Linked DNA regions of Elephas maximus indicus. The protein of the gene in region 1 binds, or shares a complex with, the protein of each later gene. Links are inferred from orthologs where the notes say so. Each region holds a gene or a part of one and is shown on either strand. Other genes may lie near its edges.

Evidence for each region. The genes of interacting proteins can lie anywhere in the genome.
Region 2: ARPC2 (region 1) and ARPC5 share a complex: the UniProt entries of both Homo sapiens proteins name them as parts of the arp2/3 complex. The link is inferred for Elephas maximus indicus from reciprocal best matches to the Homo sapiens genes ARPC2 and ARPC5.

The regions. Positions count from the first base shown.
Region 1 is NC_064824.1:116,782,873-116,792,385, forward strand, and holds the start of ARPC2 (actin-related protein 2/3 complex subunit 2), read left to right. Parts: upstream 1-5,330; 5' UTR 5,331-5,432; intron 5,433-5,651; 5' UTR 5,652-5,659; coding exon 5,660-5,733; intron 5,734-9,513. UniProt on the Homo sapiens protein: Actin-binding component of the Arp2/3 complex, a multiprotein complex that mediates actin polymerization upon stimulation by nucleation-promoting factor (NPF).
Region 2 is NC_064842.1:47,116,089-47,126,353, reverse strand, and holds the start of ARPC5 (actin-related protein 2/3 complex subunit 5), read left to right. Parts: upstream 1-5,878; 5' UTR 5,879-6,122; coding exon 6,123-6,266; intron 6,267-9,110; coding exon 9,111-9,182; intron 9,183-10,265. UniProt on the Homo sapiens protein: Component of the Arp2/3 complex, a multiprotein complex that mediates actin polymerization upon stimulation by nucleation-promoting factor (NPF).

The DNA of each region.
Region 1 (9,513 bases):
CTTACTTGCAAAAATTATGTGCTTGGAGAGACTGAAAGGGCTGACTCAAGACGGGGAGAGTAAGTGGGAGTAGGGAGTGAGATGTATGTAAACTTATATGTGACAGACTGATTGGATTTGTAAACGTTCACTTGAAGCTTAATAAAAGTTATTATAAAAAAAAAAAAAAAAAAATTATGTGCTTGGCTAATAATGCAGAACACCCATCCTGGAATGTGTGATAAGAAAAAAACAAACAATGTACTTCCTTGTAAGATGTTTTTCAGAAGGACCTGCCTGATCTGGGTCCTGGAGCATGGGCAGACATCCGCAAGGGGACTGACGGATGACCTCCACCTGATGCAAGTACCCACAACAGGAACTGAGCCGGCACCACAGGAGGGACTGCACAGGCATGACACCCCATAATACGTCCGGTTACCCAGTCCCAGGAGCCTTTGCTACGGGTTGCATCTTGAATTCCAGATGCGCTCACAACCTAATTTCAGTATGCACCACCATTCTGAGAAGTATCCGCCCCTTGAAAGAAACCTACTAAATATTCATTACTGTATTATCCTCGCCAAACCCATATAAGCCCCAGAAAAACCTTTGTTCAGGGGAACAGAGGTTAGCGTTGCCTGTTCCCTCTCTCTCTGCTCGTGAGCCTTCACTTTCTTTCTGTCACTAATAAACCTTTGTTCATGTGGAACCTCTGAGCCTCTTCTGGTCGTTCTTGGTCAGTAGAAGGCAAGAACCTAGGCAGGCAACTCTTCAGACATGGATTGGACTGGACAGTGGGTTGAAGACGAATGCTGGTGAGAAGTGAGCTTCTTGAATCAGGTGGACACTTGAGACTATGCTGGCATCTCCTGCCTGGAGGAGAGATGAGACGGTAGAGGGGGTAAGAAGCTGGCGAAATGGACACGAAAAGAGAGAGTGGAGGGAGAGATAGGGCTATCTCATTAGGGGGAGAGTAATTGGGAGTATGTAGCAAGGTGTATATAAGTTTTTGTGTGAGAGACTGACTTGACTTGTAAACTTTCACTTAAAGCACAATAAAAATTATTTTAAAAAAAAAGAACCTAGGCAGGACTTAGTCCTGACCCGGGAAGCCTTGCCCTGCAACAATATGAGTGAGCCCAGGCAAGAGCAGCAGAAACCCATCCAGTTAACCCACAGAATTCTGAGAACTAATAAATCATTGTTTTAAAACCATTATTTTTTGGTGGTAGCTTGTTACCCAGCAAGAGATAACTGAAACAATCCAAAGATAGAATCCTGAGGAGTTCTAGTTTAGCCAGCCTCCAACATGACCCCTAATGATCCCTTCCTCCTGGTATTCATGCCTGTGTGTAGTCTTTTCCCACACTGTATTAGGGCTGGTCTGTGTGACCAAGATAATACAACAGAAGTGATGGCAGGCTATTTTATAAAAACACTGTGGCTTCTGCCTTGTTCACTCCTGGATCATTCACTCAAGGGAAGCCAGCTGCCATGACCTAAGAAGAGGAACTGAGACTTAGTGACATCAGCCAAGGAGTGAGCTTGGAAGCAGATCTTCTAGCCCCAGTCAAGCCTTTGGATTACCGCAGCCCCTACTGACATCTTGACTGCAATTTCATGAGAGATCCCGAGCCAGAAAAATCCAGCTAAGCCACTCCCAAATACCTGACCCACAGAAACTGTGAGATAATGAATGTTTGTTGTTTTCAGCAGCATAACTGGGGGTAAATTGTGATGCAGCAATGGATAACTAATAGAATGTAACATTTTTCATCCGTTATGTATATAAGCAGTCTCTTGTGGGAGCCTGAGTTAACAGGAATTCAGTTTGACTTACTGATGTTTTAACGTCCCTCATAGATTGATACCCTGGTGTCACGGGGCTAGGCTGCGTGTTATTCCTGCCTGGTCTCCAAAACATCTTTCACAGGATGGCCAGAATGGGCTGATCATGCCACTCCCCTGATCAAAACCCTTCCATGGTTTCCCATTGCCCAGCTTCTACCCATGTTACCAAGTAGTTTCAACAGAAGAACCAGATGGTGATATCCCTGGTCTAGTGGCCAAACAGCAGATTAGTCCAGTGGTACAGAGAAAAAGGCCCAAAGAGTGACCAAGACTGATGGCCAGGTCTCCGATGGCATCTCCTTTGGCTCCAAGGCCTTTGTCTCATTTCCCCTCTCCCCTAATCTCAGGACTACACCCAACAACACTCTCTCCCAGCACTCTAGAGAACACTGCCAAACAACTCACACTAAAAGCCATTTTTAAGAGAGTTGGAATGTCTTTAAGACTATTAAGGAGAATATTTAACATTTGAGTCTGAGACGTTAGCATTTGGATCATTCCATCTATGCTCAGCTACCCTAAGGATAGGGCTTGACTTACAACTGCAAGACTGTAAGGGTTCTGTAAAGCAATTCCTCCCAGAATAACCATCTGCTCCTTATTTTGTCTTGACCCCACAGGAAACACAGAGCACACTCAAGATAGGATAATTCAAGGAGGGTGTATTTACAAAGGACTATTTAAAAAATACTGGGTATTTTCGGGTTTAAAAATATGTGGGTATAAGAGAATCACAAGACAGTGCAGTAACCCAGGACTAGTAGCAGCCAAACTAATACTGCCCCTAGGCCCAAAAGGATGAGGGGAGGGGTCAGTTATCAGGACCTGAAAGGAAGAAGAGAGTGGTTCTGACTGAGGTAGAGCAGTGACATTTGGTTGAGGGACATAGCCAGCCTGAGGGAGTCTCTGTATCTCTTTCTTTTCCTGCTGGGGCTCCCTATTGGCCAACCAAAAGCCAAAGGGCAAGGGGGCCCAGCTGATGTGGGGATGGAAAAGGGTGAAGAGTGGATCTGGAGGACGAAACAGAGAATAGCCAGACAGCCCTCCAAGATGAGCTCCAGCCTCTATCTTTAAGACTGAAAGCATCAGATTTCTGGCTATCCTTGAAGAATCGCTTTCCCTATTTAAGCCATCAGGGTTCGGAAGGGTGACAGTCCAGTCAAGAAGTTGTCATTATTTTGTAAACGGATATTGACAGATCCAGTTTCTCACACCTTGATTTTATCAAACTCCAAACTCAAATACAGAACTATCCAGTTCATTTCTGTATACTAGTATTGCATAGTGGTCAAGAGCATGACCTACAGAGTCTAAATATCAGCTGAGCAACCAGCCAAACCAACCCAGACCACGATGAAGGAATATCCCAGAATGGCGGCTGTGCAGCAAGTCTACAGAGCAATTAATCTAGATTGAAATAAGAGGAAGGAATGTTCTGGGACAAAGACTTCAGAGAAAAATGAAATTTATATTTTTGAATATACAGAAAATATTATTGGTAGGTTTTTTTTTTTTTTTTTTTACGCAGAATCTTAGAGCACTTGGGAGGAAACAGCCAACTATAAATATATAGAAAATCAGACAAGTAAGGGTAAAAAGGCAATAATTAACCTAGGAAAAACTGAAAGGCTGTGTAAGCTAGAAGGCATGCATACAGTGCATTTCTTGGCTCCTCAATGATCAATATTTGCATACATAACAAACATTGATTATTGACTTAACCAAAAATTGTTTCTTCAGTATGTGTGGATGTGGGGGTAGGGAGGAGGAGAAGTGATGGAGACAAATTCTCACCTACCTTGGCAGGAAATCAGATAATGCTCAGAATTAACAAATCAAGAAATAGTGGTATAAGCATTTATTTAGAAATGTGGTGATAAATAGCAGGATGAATAAGAGGATATTGCCTCTGAAGAGCGGGCCAGGGAACTGCTTTTCTCACTGCAAGTCTTTTAATATTAAACCCAGTGCCGTCGAGTCGATTCCAAAGGCTTTTAATATCAGAAACCAAAAAAAAAAAAAAAAAAAGTTGTCGTGGAGTCAATTCTGACGCAAGGGGCGCACTGGTTAAGAGTTGGGCTGCTAGACAAAAGGTCGGCAGTTCCAATCCACCAGCCGTTCCCTGGAAACTCTATGGGGCAGTTAGTTCTACTCCGTCCTGTAGGGTTGCTATGAGTCAGAATATACCAGACAACAACGCGTTAGTTATTTTTAAAGTGTGTATGCGTTGGAAACCCTGGTGCCATAGTGGTTAAGTGCTACGGCTGCTTTTAGGTTCTAAAAGGTCAGCAGTTTGAATTCGCCAGGAGCTCCTTGGAAACTCTATGGGGCAGTTCTACTCTGCCCTACAGGGTCGCTATGAGTCGGACTCGATAGCAGTGGGTTTTTTTTTTTTTGGTATATGCGTTACTTTAATACAATAAATATTTTTAACACGTTAGCATATAATTTGGTAGGATCTGCAATTTCCTGAAGCTTATCCATGGCCCATAAGAAATCTTTTCTAAAGGGCTGTCTAGGCCTTGTTGATAGGGGTTAGTTTTGTGTTCCTTTTCTTGGATCCCTCCTCCCCTCAGAACACTTAACAGAAAATTAAGTATTGCATGTAGAAGGGACTCATCTAAGTCTCTTAGTCTCCCTGGGGTGGGGAGGGGGAGGGGCGGCAGATACAAAACAAGACACACAGGCGGAAGGTGCAGATGTACCACAAAGGTGAGTTCAGATTCTGCCTGAAGATGAGGTGGACGGTATGTCTCTTGCAGAGGTACTGGAACGTGAAGGTTTCCAAGGCAGAAGAGATTACGTTCAGAGCCGCGCCCGGAAGCTGCTCCCCCAGGCACAAAAATGGAGGCGTGACAGGAACCCAGGGAGGTCCATCTAAGTTGCATATTCACCTCAGTGACTTCCCATTTCTTTCTTTTATTGTCCTTTTAACAGTTTGAAGTTATATACTTCAGCGTTTACTTGTTTGTTGTCTGTTTCCTTTACCAGACCATAGGCTTCATGAGAGCAGGGCCGCGTCTATTTTTTTCACCGCTGTATCCTCTGCACAGAGAGGAAGCCCACTAAATATTTGTTGAGAAACGAAAAGGTAATGGTGCAGCTAGGCAGCCATTAGCGCGGATGAGGAAGGGATACCGAGAACGAACAGGCACCAAGAGCAAAGGGGAGATGAACTGGGAGATGACAATGGGAAGCTTCATGCGGGGATCTCTAAAATGACTAGACCGGAAAGGTAGAGCTGGACCTCTGGGACAAGCGGGAGGGAGGCGACGGACAGTGAAGAAGGCCTCAGAGAATGACAGCTGGGTAAACCACATATTTGAAGGGGCTGGATGTAAGGGGGTCTGTGGGAAAGTGGAGGCGGGACGACGGCATCACGAGTGCGCAAGCGCGGCCTCGGTCCGCAGGCGTGCCTGCGTGCGCGTGCACGAGGGGTCGGAGCGGAATTGGCGCCGCGGGGCCGCGCGTAGGGCGGCGAGCGGAAGTGGGTGTGAGAGCGGAAGTGACCGGCTAGAGCCGGGGGCTGGGCGGGGACCGGGCTTGTTGGTGAGGCGGCGGCGGCGGCTCGGCAGGCGGGTTGAGGCTTCCGGGGCCAGGTCGGTCGGGTGGGTGGGTGGGTGTCTCCACAGTGTGTGCGTGCGCGGGCTAGCGCGCGTGTCCTTCCCTTCCCCCCCATCCCGGCCCCTCTCCCCTTTTCCCTTCACTTACTACTCCACCCAGGCCCCCTTGTCAGGGGCAGCAGGGCCGCTCCCTCTGTCCTTCCCTCCTTTACCCATCCTCACCCGCCTCGTTTCTCCTTCCCCTGCCCGGGGCAGCCGCCGCCATGATCCTGCTGGAGGTGAACAACCGCATCATCGAGGAGACGCTCGCGCTGAAGTTCGAGAACGCGGCCGCCGGGTGAGCGCGCGCCCGGGGCCAGGGGTGGCAGCGGAGGCAGAGCTCACCCCCGCCAATCCCCAGTATCATCCAGGGTCCCCACACCTGGAGGAGGGAGATGGGGGGCCTGGCAGGGTGTGGGGGCCGCCCTGGCGGTGGAGACGTGGGCGCGGCGGGGTGAGGGGCAGAGAGAGATGCGTGGGGCGAGGCTCAGAGGAGGGATGCGGAAGCAGTGAGTGGACAGTAGTGCGCGTGCCAAAGGGAGACCTGTAGGGCATGAGGGCAGCTTGGGCCTGAACTCACTGGAGGATGCCTTTGCCCTCTGGAGCGAGGAGGGGACCCCTTCCCTCTGTTGTTCCCGTCATTGTTCTGAACCCGAAGAGAGCCCATTTGGGATTGGGTTGGAAGTTTTCAGGGATTCCCAGGAATGGAGGAGGGAAGAAGATACAGGCCTAGATTAGCACCTGCATTCTTGCTCTCCACCCCACCTCCTCCCTAAAGGAGCTAGAGGGAAGACTGGAAGCACTGGCTTCCTTCCCATCGATTCCATCTCCCCAATCAGACCCAGCCGTACAACCGGAAAAACGCGATTTCTATAATTTCCCTTTCCCCGGACCCTACTGTAAGAAGAAACTGGCCATTTTGTTACATATTTCTCAGAGTTGACAGTCCCTCCATCCACATCCATCCATTCCTTATCTGTCTTCTGAGGTTCTAATGCTACTTTCCCCACCCATTAGCCATTATTTGGTTATCTTGAAATTCTTGGTGCAGGACCCCTGGCCCGTGATTTCTTCTGTGATAGTCTTGGCCCAGTGACACACTTCTGAGCCGCCTAGGTCTGTAAAGTTCTTAGATAACCTTCATTGTTGGCCTTTTTAAAGATGGGCTTAGAACATTTTTCTAAGGCAGTCTTCTCAGTTGAACACAAGCATCAGTAGAAGACAAACAGCCCCCTCCCCCAGAGCTGCTTTGGGTTTCTAATATAGTATTTAAAATATGAGGCCAAGGAATTGGCTTTATCTTCTAATTTTTAGTGGCCTGTGGCCAGTCCTTTTGCTTCATTTCCCCATCTGTGAGGATGGGGCTTCACATCTTAGTTTCAGTTGAGGAACTGGATGCAAAGTGTCTATGATGAACTGGGAAGTAATAATAGGAAAGTAAATGCTTAGAGATCCACAGATGGGAGAGGCTTGCTGGAGGGGACATTCTGAGTAATCGTAATGGACTTGTGGCTTGGAGGCAATTAAAAAAAAAAAAAAGCTCTTCTAACTCACTGCTTAAATTGAATGTATTGTGAGTCTTATGAGTCTTATCTATTTTTTAAGCCCACAGATTTTATCTGTAAAACAAAGCACGGACTATTCCTTGAAGTAATGACATGCAGTGAGCAGTACTGTTTCTTGCCAGGGATGATAGTCGCTTATATTTTAGGCTAACTTGCTTCTTCTTTTCAGTCTATCATGCCATTTCCTTTGCACTTTAAATAATTCAAGTGAATCAGCCTAGGGTCTTTTTTGGGTGATTGCTGTGTACTTTTTTTGAGCAGTGTAGCACATAGGAGGAAGTTGAGCTAACTTCTGCATTTTCACAACTGATCTTAATGCATTCTCAAGTCCAGACTAGCAAAGAATGAGACCTGAGTGGCTGTAAGCAGATCCGCCTGTGGATTTTCAAGTAGAGGCCTGCCTTGTATGCAGGAGTACCTTCACATCTATTTGTGTATTAATAACTTGTGATTCCCAAATGTGGCCCATTGTTCAGAACTTCCAGCTGGTTTTCTTTTAGAAAATTACTCTTAGAAAGAGCAGCTAACCATTTCAGAGGGGTTAAAGCAGGCCCTCAAGTCAGGAAGGGGTAAGTTAGAACTTCCAAGACATTCGTTAAAAGATTTGTGTTGTATTGATGTTGGATATGAGGGAGGGTGTTGAGCTTTCGCTTTTATTGTATGCCCACTTATTTAAAGTAGTTTAAATAAGTGGGCTTAAAACATATTCTGCTGAAAAGCTCTTGGGAAATCTTTGAAAAGAGACCGTAATATTCAGACCTACTAGGTAGGGCTTTTCTGGGATTGCAGATGTACTCTAAGCAGAAGCCTAATTTCAAGCCAAGTGTGCTTTTCCAGGCATACCAGTAAGGTAAGGCACCGATGAAGCAGTTAAATATTTATCACAGTGCATGTCTACACCAGAACTTCCACAAAGGATGACTGCTATGAGAATCATAAACATATATGGGATTCTGCCGGTACTCAAAGGAGCCTTGGTGGCACAGTGAGTGGTTAAGCACTTGGCTGCTGACCGAAAGATTGGAGGTTTGAACACACCAGTCGTTCTGCGGGAGAAAGATGTGGTAGCCTGCTTCCGTAAAGATCACAGCCTTAGAAACCCTGTGGGGCAGTTCTGCTCGGTACTATAGGGTCGCTATGATTCAGAAATGACTCAAGGGCAGTGGGTTTGGCTTTGGTTTTTACCAGCACTCAACACCAGGCAGGAGCAAAAAAGAAAAAAAGAAGCCGGCCTTTCTGAGAGAGCATGTTGGCAAAGTTACAGAGAAGCTAAGGGGTGAGATGTGCTGGGGTGGAAGATAGAGAAAGACCTTAAAGAAAAATGCTGAGAGTTTGAAAGGTGGTGCCAAGTGTGGGAGCCTCCTGGAAGAGGGCAGTTCCACCCTGCTTTACACATCTTCCAAACCTGTTGCCTTTGAGTCAATTCCAACTCATAGTGACCCTATAGGACAGATTAGAACTGCCATTTAGGATTTCCAAGGAGCAGGTGGTGGATTCGAACTGCCAACCTTTTGGTTAGCAGCTGAGTTCTTAACCACTGTGCTGCCAGAGCTCCTTAAAGTTCTTAGAGCAGACCAGCTGGGAAAGTTATGGTTCAAAGCAACCTTTTCCAGAGTGGGTCTTCCAGCTCTGCACTGTCTAATACGGTAGCCACTAACTACATATGGCTGTTTAAATAAAAAGTAATTAAAAGGTAATAAATTAAAAATCAAGTCCCTCGGTCACACCAGCCATATATCTAGTGCTCAGTGACCACGTGTAGTTACTGTATTGGACGGTGCAGATGCAGAACGTTTCCATTGTTGCTTGAAGTTCTTTTTGTTGGGCAGCATTGTTCCAGCTCCTGAAAACGTAGCATTGAGATACTGTGAAGATAGTCCTGTGGTATATATACTTCAGAATGCAGTTGGCGTTAGTTTTCCTTTTGGGGTTTATTTGTGTGTGTGTGTGTGTTTTTGGTCAAAGTTTATGCAAGAAATTAGGCTCTCATTTAATTAACAATTTCTGTACATATTGTTCAGTGATACTGGTTACATTCTTCGCAATATATTAGCATTCTCATTATTTCCATTTTGGTTGTTCTGTTTCCATTAGTCTAGCTTCCCTGATCCCCTTTACCTTCTCATCTTTGGTGTAGGGTAAATGCTTATCATTTGAATTCATCTAGGTGATTATTTTGAGGAGCACAGTACTCACGAGGGATATTATTTATTTTATGGGCCAGTCTGTCATTTGGCTGAACGGTGACCTCTGGGAGTGGTTTGAGTTCCAAGTTTAAAGTGTATGTCAAGGCGATAGACTGGGGATTCATCTAGTCTCTACTGGTCCAGTAAGTCTGGCCTTTTTTGGGGGAATTTGAGTTTTATTCTACATTTTTCTCCCATACTATCCAAGACTATTGAGCCCCTGGTCAGAACAGTCAGTAGTGGTAGCTGGGCACCATCTAGTTCTTCTGGTCTCAAGGTAGGTGATTTTGTTGTTTGTATAGACTGTTGGTTCTGTAGACTAGTTTC
Region 2 (10,265 bases), on another chromosome or scaffold:
AAGAGTATCACCACCAACACACATGTGGAAACTCCAAATAAGGAAAATATAAATCACTTTCAGCCAATGAACAAATCAATAACCATAGAAAATAAAGATGACCAAAGACCTACCTCTAAAAAGATCAGCAAGCTCAGATAGTTTTGCAGGTACATTCTGTAACGTTCAACGAACAAGTAGCATGGGAACTTTCTATTACTTGAAACTATTCCAGACCATAAGAAAAACATGTAAATCTTCCCAATTCATTTGACAAAGCTAGACTAACCCCAATATCAAAACCAGATAAAAAAATGAAACTATGAACCAATCTTACTTAAAAACATAGATTCCGAACCATATAAATGAAATATAAGCTAATCAAATCCAGGAAGGAATTAAAAGAATAACATTCAAAAACCAAATAGAGTGTATGCTAGGAATGTGGGAATGTTTCAATGTAGAAAACTATATAATTCATTACATTAATAAATTTAAAGTTTAAAATGATATGACTTTTACCATTAGATACTCACAAAGGCATTTGATAAATTAAGCAGTCATTCCTAAAGATCACAAAGCAATAATAAATATAATATCAACTAGTGAAATACCAAAGATATTTCCATTGAAACAGGAACAAAGCATGGAAGCCTACTTTCACCCAATTTCTCAATACCGTTTTCAAGATTCTACTTAATGTAATAAGAAAAATAAATGAATATAAATATTAGAAAGGAAAATGTAAATTATCATTATTTCAAATAGTTTGATATAACCTTAAAGCAACTATTATTAATAAGCGATCCCAGTAATGGGAAAGAATAAAGGATAAATAAATATTTTTTAAATCAATAGGTTCCCTTTAAATCATCATAAACTAAACCAAAACCCATTGCCGTCAAGTCAATTTCAACTCATAGTGACCCTATAAAAAGACCCTATAGGAGAGAGTAAAACCGCCCTGTGGAGTTTCCAAAGGCTGCTAGTGGATTCAAACTGCCAACCTTTTGCTTAGCAGCTGAGCTTTTAACCATTACGCCACCAGGGCTCCTTATATCCTCATAAACAAAACCAAAAAACCCACTGCCATCAAGTCGATTCCAACTCATAGCAAACCTATAGAACAGAGTAGAACTGCCCGATAGAGTTTCCAAGGAGTGCCTGGCAGATTCAAATTGCTGACCTTTTGGTTAGCAGCCTTAGCTCTTAACCACTATGCCACCAGAGTTTCCTATATCCTCAGGGAATATAAAATTAAATGGAAAAAAAGGCTCATTTACAACAATGTTTCAAAAACAATGTTCACTCTTTCATTCAGCACTATTTATCCTGAGACAAGAGTACGATTTATAGTTTTTTAAATCTTTGCGAAGTATTATTATCTAATTAAAGGCCCTACTGAAAAATATTTCACCCTATCTATTTCAGTGAGTAATCATAAACTTATGTAACGCTAAAAATAATAAGAAAAAACTTGAAATTTTGAAGGTTGGTTGTTTCAGCACAGAAACAGTTGATTTGAGCATGAAGTAGGAGTAAATTAAACCATTATACAGTTTATGGGTAATACGATAAGGATCTTTATATTACAGAAATGTCAATAGGGAATAATGATATTAAATCATCATTACCAGAGCTGAGTTTTACCTTTATTTTATATGTATAATATACATTTGACATATTTGATTAAAATGGAGTATATTTTCATTTCCAATAATAAAATAATAGTGCCATGCTTGCAGGGTTCAATGTCTTGGTTTGTTTTTTTAAGTACTTAGTGGCAATTCTGGGGGAAAACGCACATAGTAGGAGAGTACTTGGTTTTTAAAATGTGAAAAGAAAGACCTATTATAATTTTATCAAAATCCCTTTTAATTAAAAGGATCCTTGTTCTTTGCATCATCACACAAAAAGGAGCTACATGCCAGCATGTAGCATAAACCTTGAGAAAACTCAGATTCAATCTTGCTTTCCTATTGGGCCAACCAGGTTATTTTGCACAATAAAATGTCTTCAGTACACAATGCTGGGGGAAGCCAGCACAACTTGTATGAGGCAAGATCATGTAAGCTCCACAGACACATCAAAACTCCCTGAGGGACCGAATTACTAGGTCGAGGGCTGTTCGGACCACAGTCTTGGGGAACATCTAGCTCAACTGGCATAACATAGTTTATAAAGAAAATGTTCTACATTCTACTTTAGTGAGTGGCGTCTGAGGTCTTAAAAGCTTGTCAGCGACCATCTAAGATACACCACTAGTCTCACTCCATTGGGAGCAAGGGAGAATGAAGAAAACTAAAGACACAGGGAAAGATTAGTCCAAAGGACTAATGGACCACAACTACCACAGCCTCTACCAGGCTGAGCCCAGTATAACTAGATGGTGCCCGGCTACCACCGCTGACTGCTCTGACAGAGATCACAATAGGGGATCCTGGATAGAGCTGTACAAAAATGTAGAACAAAATTCTAACTCACAAAAAAAAGATCAGACTTACTGGCCTGACAAAGACTGGAGAAACCCTGAGAGCAGGGCTCCCGGACACCCTTTTAACTCAGTACTGAAGTCACTTCTGAGGTTCACCCTTCAGCCAAAGATTAGACAGGCCCATAAAACAAACAAGACCAAAGCGGCACACCAGCCCAGGGGCAAGGACTGGAAGGCAAGAGGGGACAGGAGAGCTGGGAATAGGGAGTCCAAAGTCTAGAAGGGAGAGTGTTGACACGTCATGGGGTTGGTAAGTAATGTCACAAAACAATATGTGTACTAACGGTTTAAAGAGAAACTAGTTTGTTCTGTAAACCTTCATCTAAAGCACAAAAAAGAAAAAGTCTTAAAACCTTATGAATAGTTTATGTCAGGGTAAGTACTCATTTAAAATACTAAAATAGGCAGAATCCTAGTACCTAAAATGAATTAACTATTATGGTTAACATTAAGTAACTGAGATAATAATTTTTTAATTAAAAGATAATTAAGAATGAGTTTCTTCCCCCAAAACAGTTTCCCTAAAGCTGTATAACTATTTAACTATTAGCTAGCGGAGCATAGGGAGCAATATTAACGTATCCATTCAAAAATACTCAGTCTCTAAATGCGATCCCTAAAGTTACTTGTCAGATCATAAATTTACTTGATAGAAATTTATTGAGTGCCTGATACACTAGGCACTTAGATCATTGTGAGACAATAAAAAATACTGCATTGGAAAAAGACCTTTTGACATCTGAAATGTAATACACATTTTGGGGCTGAGAATTAATTACATTTAAGACATTCAACACATTCTGAGCAATCAAAACAATTACACCCATGAGCATCCCCAATTTTTTAAAGTCTTCTCACTATTCTCTTAAATTGATTTCTATCAAGGGAGTCTTTCCCAGTTCTAAAATAAGACAAAAAGAAATTTCCTAGATAAGAATACAAAAGAATAGAAACGTAAGAAAAGGAATGAGTTAGGTCTTGAATCTTTGTTCCCATTTGTTCAACAGTGCTTTTAATGCGCAATTTTCTCTTTAAGAAAAATCTTGATTTAAAAGAACAAAAAGTACAGTCTTTAGCATCTCAAGAAGAATATTGTTTAGCTCATACTAAAGTTAGCAAAAGACTGAAACTGAGAAAAAATATTTAAATACATCTACATTCTAAGTTATATAATGCCATTCAACATAGTAATAACCTGATACTTTGAAATATGACATTTTAAAATAAATATTACCAACAGCTAGAAAATTTTCCTTTGCTGTTTTAAGAGAATTCTAGGGGAGTTTGTAATTTGAATGTCAATTTAAGGAAATGTCGCTTTTATCATCTAAATTCTGTCTTCTAGAATGGGCATTTTATTGGGAAAAGAAAAAAGCCACATTGCTTTTTCCTCCCAAGGAAAAAGGATGCATTCCATTCTTGAGGAGTGTCTGTCTGTCTCTCCCTCTTTCTCTCTCTCCTGTCCTCCCTTGTCCTTTCTCTCTCTGTATATATATATGACATAAGGTTTAATTTGACATCTTTCTCTTCTTACTTATTCATTATTCTCAGTGTGATCCTCAACCTGTACTGCCTTTCACACTTCATCCATTCATCAAACATTTATTCAGTACCTTCTGCAGGTAAAGGAAGATGCAAAATAAATATAAGACAGGTCTCTGTCATCCAGAATCTTGCAATCTCTCCGAAGAGCAAGATAAAACATGATATATCATTAAGTAAGCTAGAAGGCTAATGCCAAAGCCAATGGTACAGGTAATAAGCATTTTACATATATGTACAATTTTAGAGCTTCAAAACACTTTTGTGTATTTAAACCTCAGAACAATCTAGTGAAGTAATCATTACTATCCCCATTTTTGCGATAAAGAACCTGAGATTCAGAATTTTAAGTGGCATGCCTCAACCAAACAGATGATGAGTGAAAGAACCAAGACTCAAGCCAGGGTCTTCTGATTCTAAGCCCAGGACTCTTTTCAATACACCACAGGAAAACAAGGATTGGAGTACTCAACAGGGGCAACAGCCAGCCTTCTCCCAGAGGTGGAACTAAACTGGACTCATAGGATGGCAGGAAAATATGAAACCACCTGGGCAATGTCCAACGAAATGTCCAAATTAATTGTATTCTGCAAATATTTGGGCTTATCATTAATTTGTACTTCAGTGTAATACACAGCACAACTACCATGTCCTTAGTGGCTTTACCTCTTATGCTCTCAGATACTAGGATGTCAAATATAATTAAGAAGCTGGTCTAGTGGAGTCATGTAATTCATAAATACAAATCTTAAAGACTGGTTTCTACTAATCCATAAACATTTGGTTTTCCTTCAGCACCAGAGCCTACCTCGCCCCACCTTTCTCTAGCATTCTTGCTCCAACCACTTATTTTAAGATATCAATGATGAATGATCCTACCCCAAATTCTACACGTTCACCCCAGTTTTGCCACCTGACTCCAGCCCTGCCCAGACATCTTCCCCTCCCTCCCGATAGATATGATACCGAGTTTAGGTTCTGCAGGTCCCGTCACGATGCTGTCACCAGCACTGAGAGATAAGATATGACCTTTTGACTCCGTCCTTGGAAGCCTCTGACTGGCCCTGCAGCGTAGTTCTACCCTCGGGGAAAGGGCTCCCAGCTGGGGAATGCACCCCGGGTGGAGCGCGTTCCGAAGCGATGTCTTCGACAACTAGCACGATGCTGGGCACACGGGAGTGCACCACTCCGCCCCATACTCCTGCCAGCTGCAGGGGGCTGGGTCCGGCAACCAGTCCATCCCACCGCACTGGCAAGTCGGGGCCAGCCGGACCTTACGCAGGACTCCAATGACTGCTCAGCGGCGGCGGTAGCGGCAGCAAAAGCCAAAGCCACCCGCCCCCGGTGCCCATAGCCGCCAACCTAGGACCCCCCCGCCACCAGGCTGGACCGCAGAGAAGCGTTTCTATGGGAACCCCCTGGGCACCACGTGATGCACTCGGGCGACCAATCGCCGCTCCCCTCTGTCCGCGGTACGGCTTTCCGCCTTCCCTCTTATCCCGCCCCCGCCCCTTCTCCTGGCCCCACCCCTTTCCTGCAGAGAGTCCGCGTCTGCGCGTGGGGTCCTGCGCGCTCCCTCCCTGGCGCGCCCCTTCCCTGGCGCTTGCTCCCTCCGGCGCGCCCGCTCCCTCCCTGGCGCCCGCTCCCTCCCTGGCGCGCGCTCCCTCCCTGGCGCCCGCGCACCCGCTCCCTCCCTGGCGCGCGCTCCCTCCCGCGCGCCTGCTCCCTCCCGCGCGCCTGCTCCCTCCTTCGCCCGCTCCCTCCCGCGCGCGCTCCCTCCCTGGCGCCCGCTCCCTCCCTGGCGCGCGCTCCCTCCCGCGCGCCCGCTCCCTCCTTCGCCCGCTCCCTCCCCGGCGCCCGCTCCTTCTCCGGCGCGCGCTCCCCGGGAGCGCGGGGGCGGCGTGGGAGGCTAGAGTAGGGCCTGAGGCCGAGGAGGCAGGAGCGGGGCCGGCGCGCAGGCTCAGAACCGGCTGAGCCGCTTCTGCCGGCGACGCCCCTGAGCGGAAGAGGGAAGTGGAGGCGCCAGCCTGCGGGTTCCTGCTGGACTGGGGTTGCTGTAGTAAAGGTAGCACCGAGGGGAGGCCTTTGCCACCGGTGGGGTTTGGGGATGTCGAAGAACACGGTGTCGTCGGCCCGGTTCCGGAAGGTGGACGTGGATGAGTACGACGAGAACAAGTTCGTGGACGAGGAGGACGGGGGCGACGGCCAAGCCGGGCCCGACGAGGGCGAGGTGGACTCCTGCCTGCGACAATATCCTTGCGCTGGCTCCTCCGCCCCCGGCCCCTCTCCCCGGACCCCGCCGCCCTGCAGAGTCCGAGGACCACGGTCTCCTCGCGGGGACGGGCGCGGAGCTGCCGCCTGCGGCCCGCGGTGAGCCTGTCCCATTGGGGTCCCCCACTCTGAGACTCAGAGAGAGGCTCTCCCGGTTCTAACCGAGCCGCCTCGGGACTGCAGGCTCCCGCCCTCGGCGACCTGCCCTTGGCGCGGCGCCTCCCACGCCCCGGTTCCTCAGGTGGCGCGCAGAGTGCCTGCCCCCGGGAGCCCGCTCTGCTGGCCGCGCCCTCGAGGCGCTGGGGCGGCATCTGGCGCTGGGTAGTGCCGCGGCAGGTCAGCTGTTCCTCCCCAGAATGGCGCTTCTGGGTCACGTTAGCCAGAAAGTGCTGATGGCCGGTGTCTGTAGGGGTTTGGGTGGGGAGAAAGGGTGGTAGTGGTTTGTTGGTTTGTTGATTTGTTTCGGGTAACGTTAGCCTAGTTTATTATTTCCGGGAGGATTGGGGTGGTTGGCAGAATTGAAGCCCTGTGTCTTTTCAGCCTGTGAACTTTTTTCTTTTCTTCCGTTTTTTTAAAACGAGAAAAAAACTGGCAAAATACAGGTTGCACAGAATTTGTTAATCGGAGGAGGGAAGTGAGTACAAAAACCTCAAAACTCCCAGAAAGGAAGCTTGAAGCCCTTTACTTGCTAAAAGGACAATACAAAGAAAACGGGGAATGCATGTGCAGAATCCCAAGAAGTACTTCAAATAAACCCCAATAAATAGAAGATAAGTCGTTTGTGTAAAGCAGAATCGCTTTTGTAATCCTGAAATTGTTTCCATTTTAAAGCGTAGCTGTCAGTTCCTGGTTTTGATTTTTGCATGTTTGAATATTCATAACTTGTAATTAACACTTGCATCAGATCTTTTTAGAAAAATGTAGATGTTGCAGTAACAGAAGGTGTAGTTTTAGAGGTTCTCAATGACTGAACTTAATGCTTTTCGAATTTTTCTTGAGCGTATGGGTAAGATAAAGAAAGCTTTTTATACCCTTTCCTCACGATGTCCCATTAAACTTTAAAGGAGAAAATGTATGAATGAAAGTATTTGGTAACAACTGTATCCAGTCTTGGAAACCCTGGTGGCGTAGTGGTCACAGAGTTCTAGTGGTCACAGAGTTCGGCTGCTAACCAAAAGGTCCGCAGTTCGAATTCACCGGGCGCTCCTTGGAAACTGGGGGGCAGCCTACTCTGTCCTATAGAGTCACTATGAATCAGAATCGACTCCAGGGCAACGGGGTTGGTTGTTACTTTTTTTAGTTTTGGTGTATAAAGGCACCTAAAATGCCGCACTTAACATTCAGGAACATATGGATGTTCCATTGGTTTCTGCCCCCTTCACAATCAGCGGTTACTATTTTGCATTATTTAAATTTTGTAAAGGTTTTTGCACCTTAATGAGCCTACAAAAGGCATGCTTCTCTAGAAGTTCATGCAGCCTTGAAAATAAGTTTATACCACCAACTGTATTTGTCAGACCTTTCCCTGCAGAAGATAAGTGGTGACTATTATTCTTTTTTTAAATCATTCTTTGTGATGAATAGATATTTTGTGAGATTAACGTATTTTAGGTGATTTGTAATGACTCTTAAACGGTACCGCTGTATCAATATCAGCGGGGCCTGCTTTTGAATTAGTTCATCTTAAAACATAAAGATATTGTTTCTCCTACCCTTGTGACAACCAAGGGAGACAGCCCTGCCTGCACAGAGGGAGTCAAGCACCAGAGATGGAGGAACAAGTGAACTCTGTGTGGTTTTCCTTATAGGGGAATGACTGTACATTCTAACAGTATGATTGGCCTAGCGTTTCTCGTGTTGGCTTACTCACTGGTGCTTTCATAGAGGGACTGAGTTTAATAAATATAGTCTAAGGCGGTTTGAATAACCTTTATGAAATATGAAAGAAAATACCCAAAACAGAGAATTTAAGCTGCCACCTAAGGGTCATATGAATTATTACACTGTCTGTAATGCCTCTTCTTATCAATACTAAGAGATTATTGGTGTGGGTTTTTATCATTCAGATTACCAGGGTACCCTACCAGCATTTTCGACCAGCATTTTAATTAATACAGAATATAGTTCTAGTAAAAGTTCAGTCTTTTTTTCCCCCCTCAGTTAAAATCGTAAAAAGATGTATTTTGATTGATGACAGGCTGTTTCACTTTGGAATTTAATAATTCTAATATACCTTTTTTAATATACCTTTTAGATTTTCTTTAGTACCACTCTGGATAATGTGCATATGTGTCTCATGGGAGAGTGAAAGGCATTCATTTGACAGTTGAGAACCGAAAAAAAAAAAAACTAAACCCATTGCCATTGAGTAAATTTCAACTCGTAGTGACCCTATAGGGCGGAGTAGAACTGCCCCGTAGGGTTTCCAAGGCTGTATGAGTCTGAATCAACTCAGTGGCAATGGCTTAATCTTTACGGAAGCAGACTGCTGCGTCTTTCTCCTTGGAGCCTTAGAGCTTTCGAACCAGTGACCTTTCAGTTAGCAGCCAAGTGCTTAACCACTGTGCCACCAGGGCTCCTTGATAGTTAAGAACCAAAGGTGAAATAGTCTTAAGGCTAATGTTCTCTTTTGTTTTCAGTATTTTACCTTTGATTGACATCCTTGAAATCAATGGATTGAATTTCCAATATTGAAGAACATCGTGACTGTAGCAATTTTTTCTCTTTGTACATAAACTCAGGTCCTAAAAACCAATGGTTCTTGAAAGTTATAAAGCTTACCTGAGGGCTGCTCTTTGCTGTTATCCCCTTAACTTCCCTCACAGGAAACATGACAGCCGCCCTACAAGCAGCTTTGAAAAACCCCCCTATCAACACCAAGAGTCAGGCGGTGAAGGTGAGTCACAGACAGCAAGATGGTCCTTGCTGACATCTTTATTCATACCAAAAGCATTTGAAGTTTCACAGAATCAACAGATATTTTAATTATTCCCTCTCTTTGACATGAAAGAGCTTATAGTTTAGTTTGCTAAGTTAAAATTTATAAAAAATAACATTTGCGTTGAGTTATGACAGTGCTACATGGTATACACAGTAAGTTCAAAAAGTTCAAATGACAGAGAGGCCACTCCTGTGGGCATTTTTAGAGGAGGCCCCGCAGGTTGAATTTAAACAAAGAATAAGTAAAACATTTACAAAAATAAACACACTGTTTGCATGCTTTTAGAAGATTTATTAAAAATCAAACTAGTACTAAATATTTATTATAGAAAACAGATATGGGGGGATTAAAAAGGTACTGACCCATAATCCCACCACCCAGAGATAGCAGTTGTTACCTTTTGGTGTGGCTGTATGCTTGTAGATTTCTTTCTGGTTTTGTTTTTTTTTTTTTTTTAATGGAGTTTTACAACCTTTTTCAACTGTAGAGCGATATACATGAAGTTCTTTCCTTAGTAATAAGGAAATAATCTTTAATAATGTAATCATTTTTAATAGCTGCTTATTGATATGCTGTGGTTGATACATAACTAATCCCCTGTGGTAACACATTTAAATTATTGACCATTGTTTTCCTGTACTGTACTGAAATGAATAATTTTTTGTAAATTCTTCATTCTTTTAGATGAATTCCTTGGATCAAAAAATGTACTTTTTTTTAAGGCTTTTGTACATATGGCCAAATTGCCCATTAGAAAAGTTGCGCAATTTACATTCCCAGTAGCAGACTTCACTAATTCTAAAGAACCCTATTTACTTACTGATTTATTGTTTAAAATGAACCCCACTGTCAGTGGCTATTCATACACCCTAGGAGACTCAAGAACCTCCTTTGAAGAGTAGTAAATAATAACTTAGGGAAATGCATAATAATTAACTAGGCAACAGGGGACAATGTCTTTGGTTTCTGTAAGTTGTGGAGAACTCCATTGAAATTTCAGTTTTGCCACTTTCTGTTTTTATATGGGTGAATTTTGTC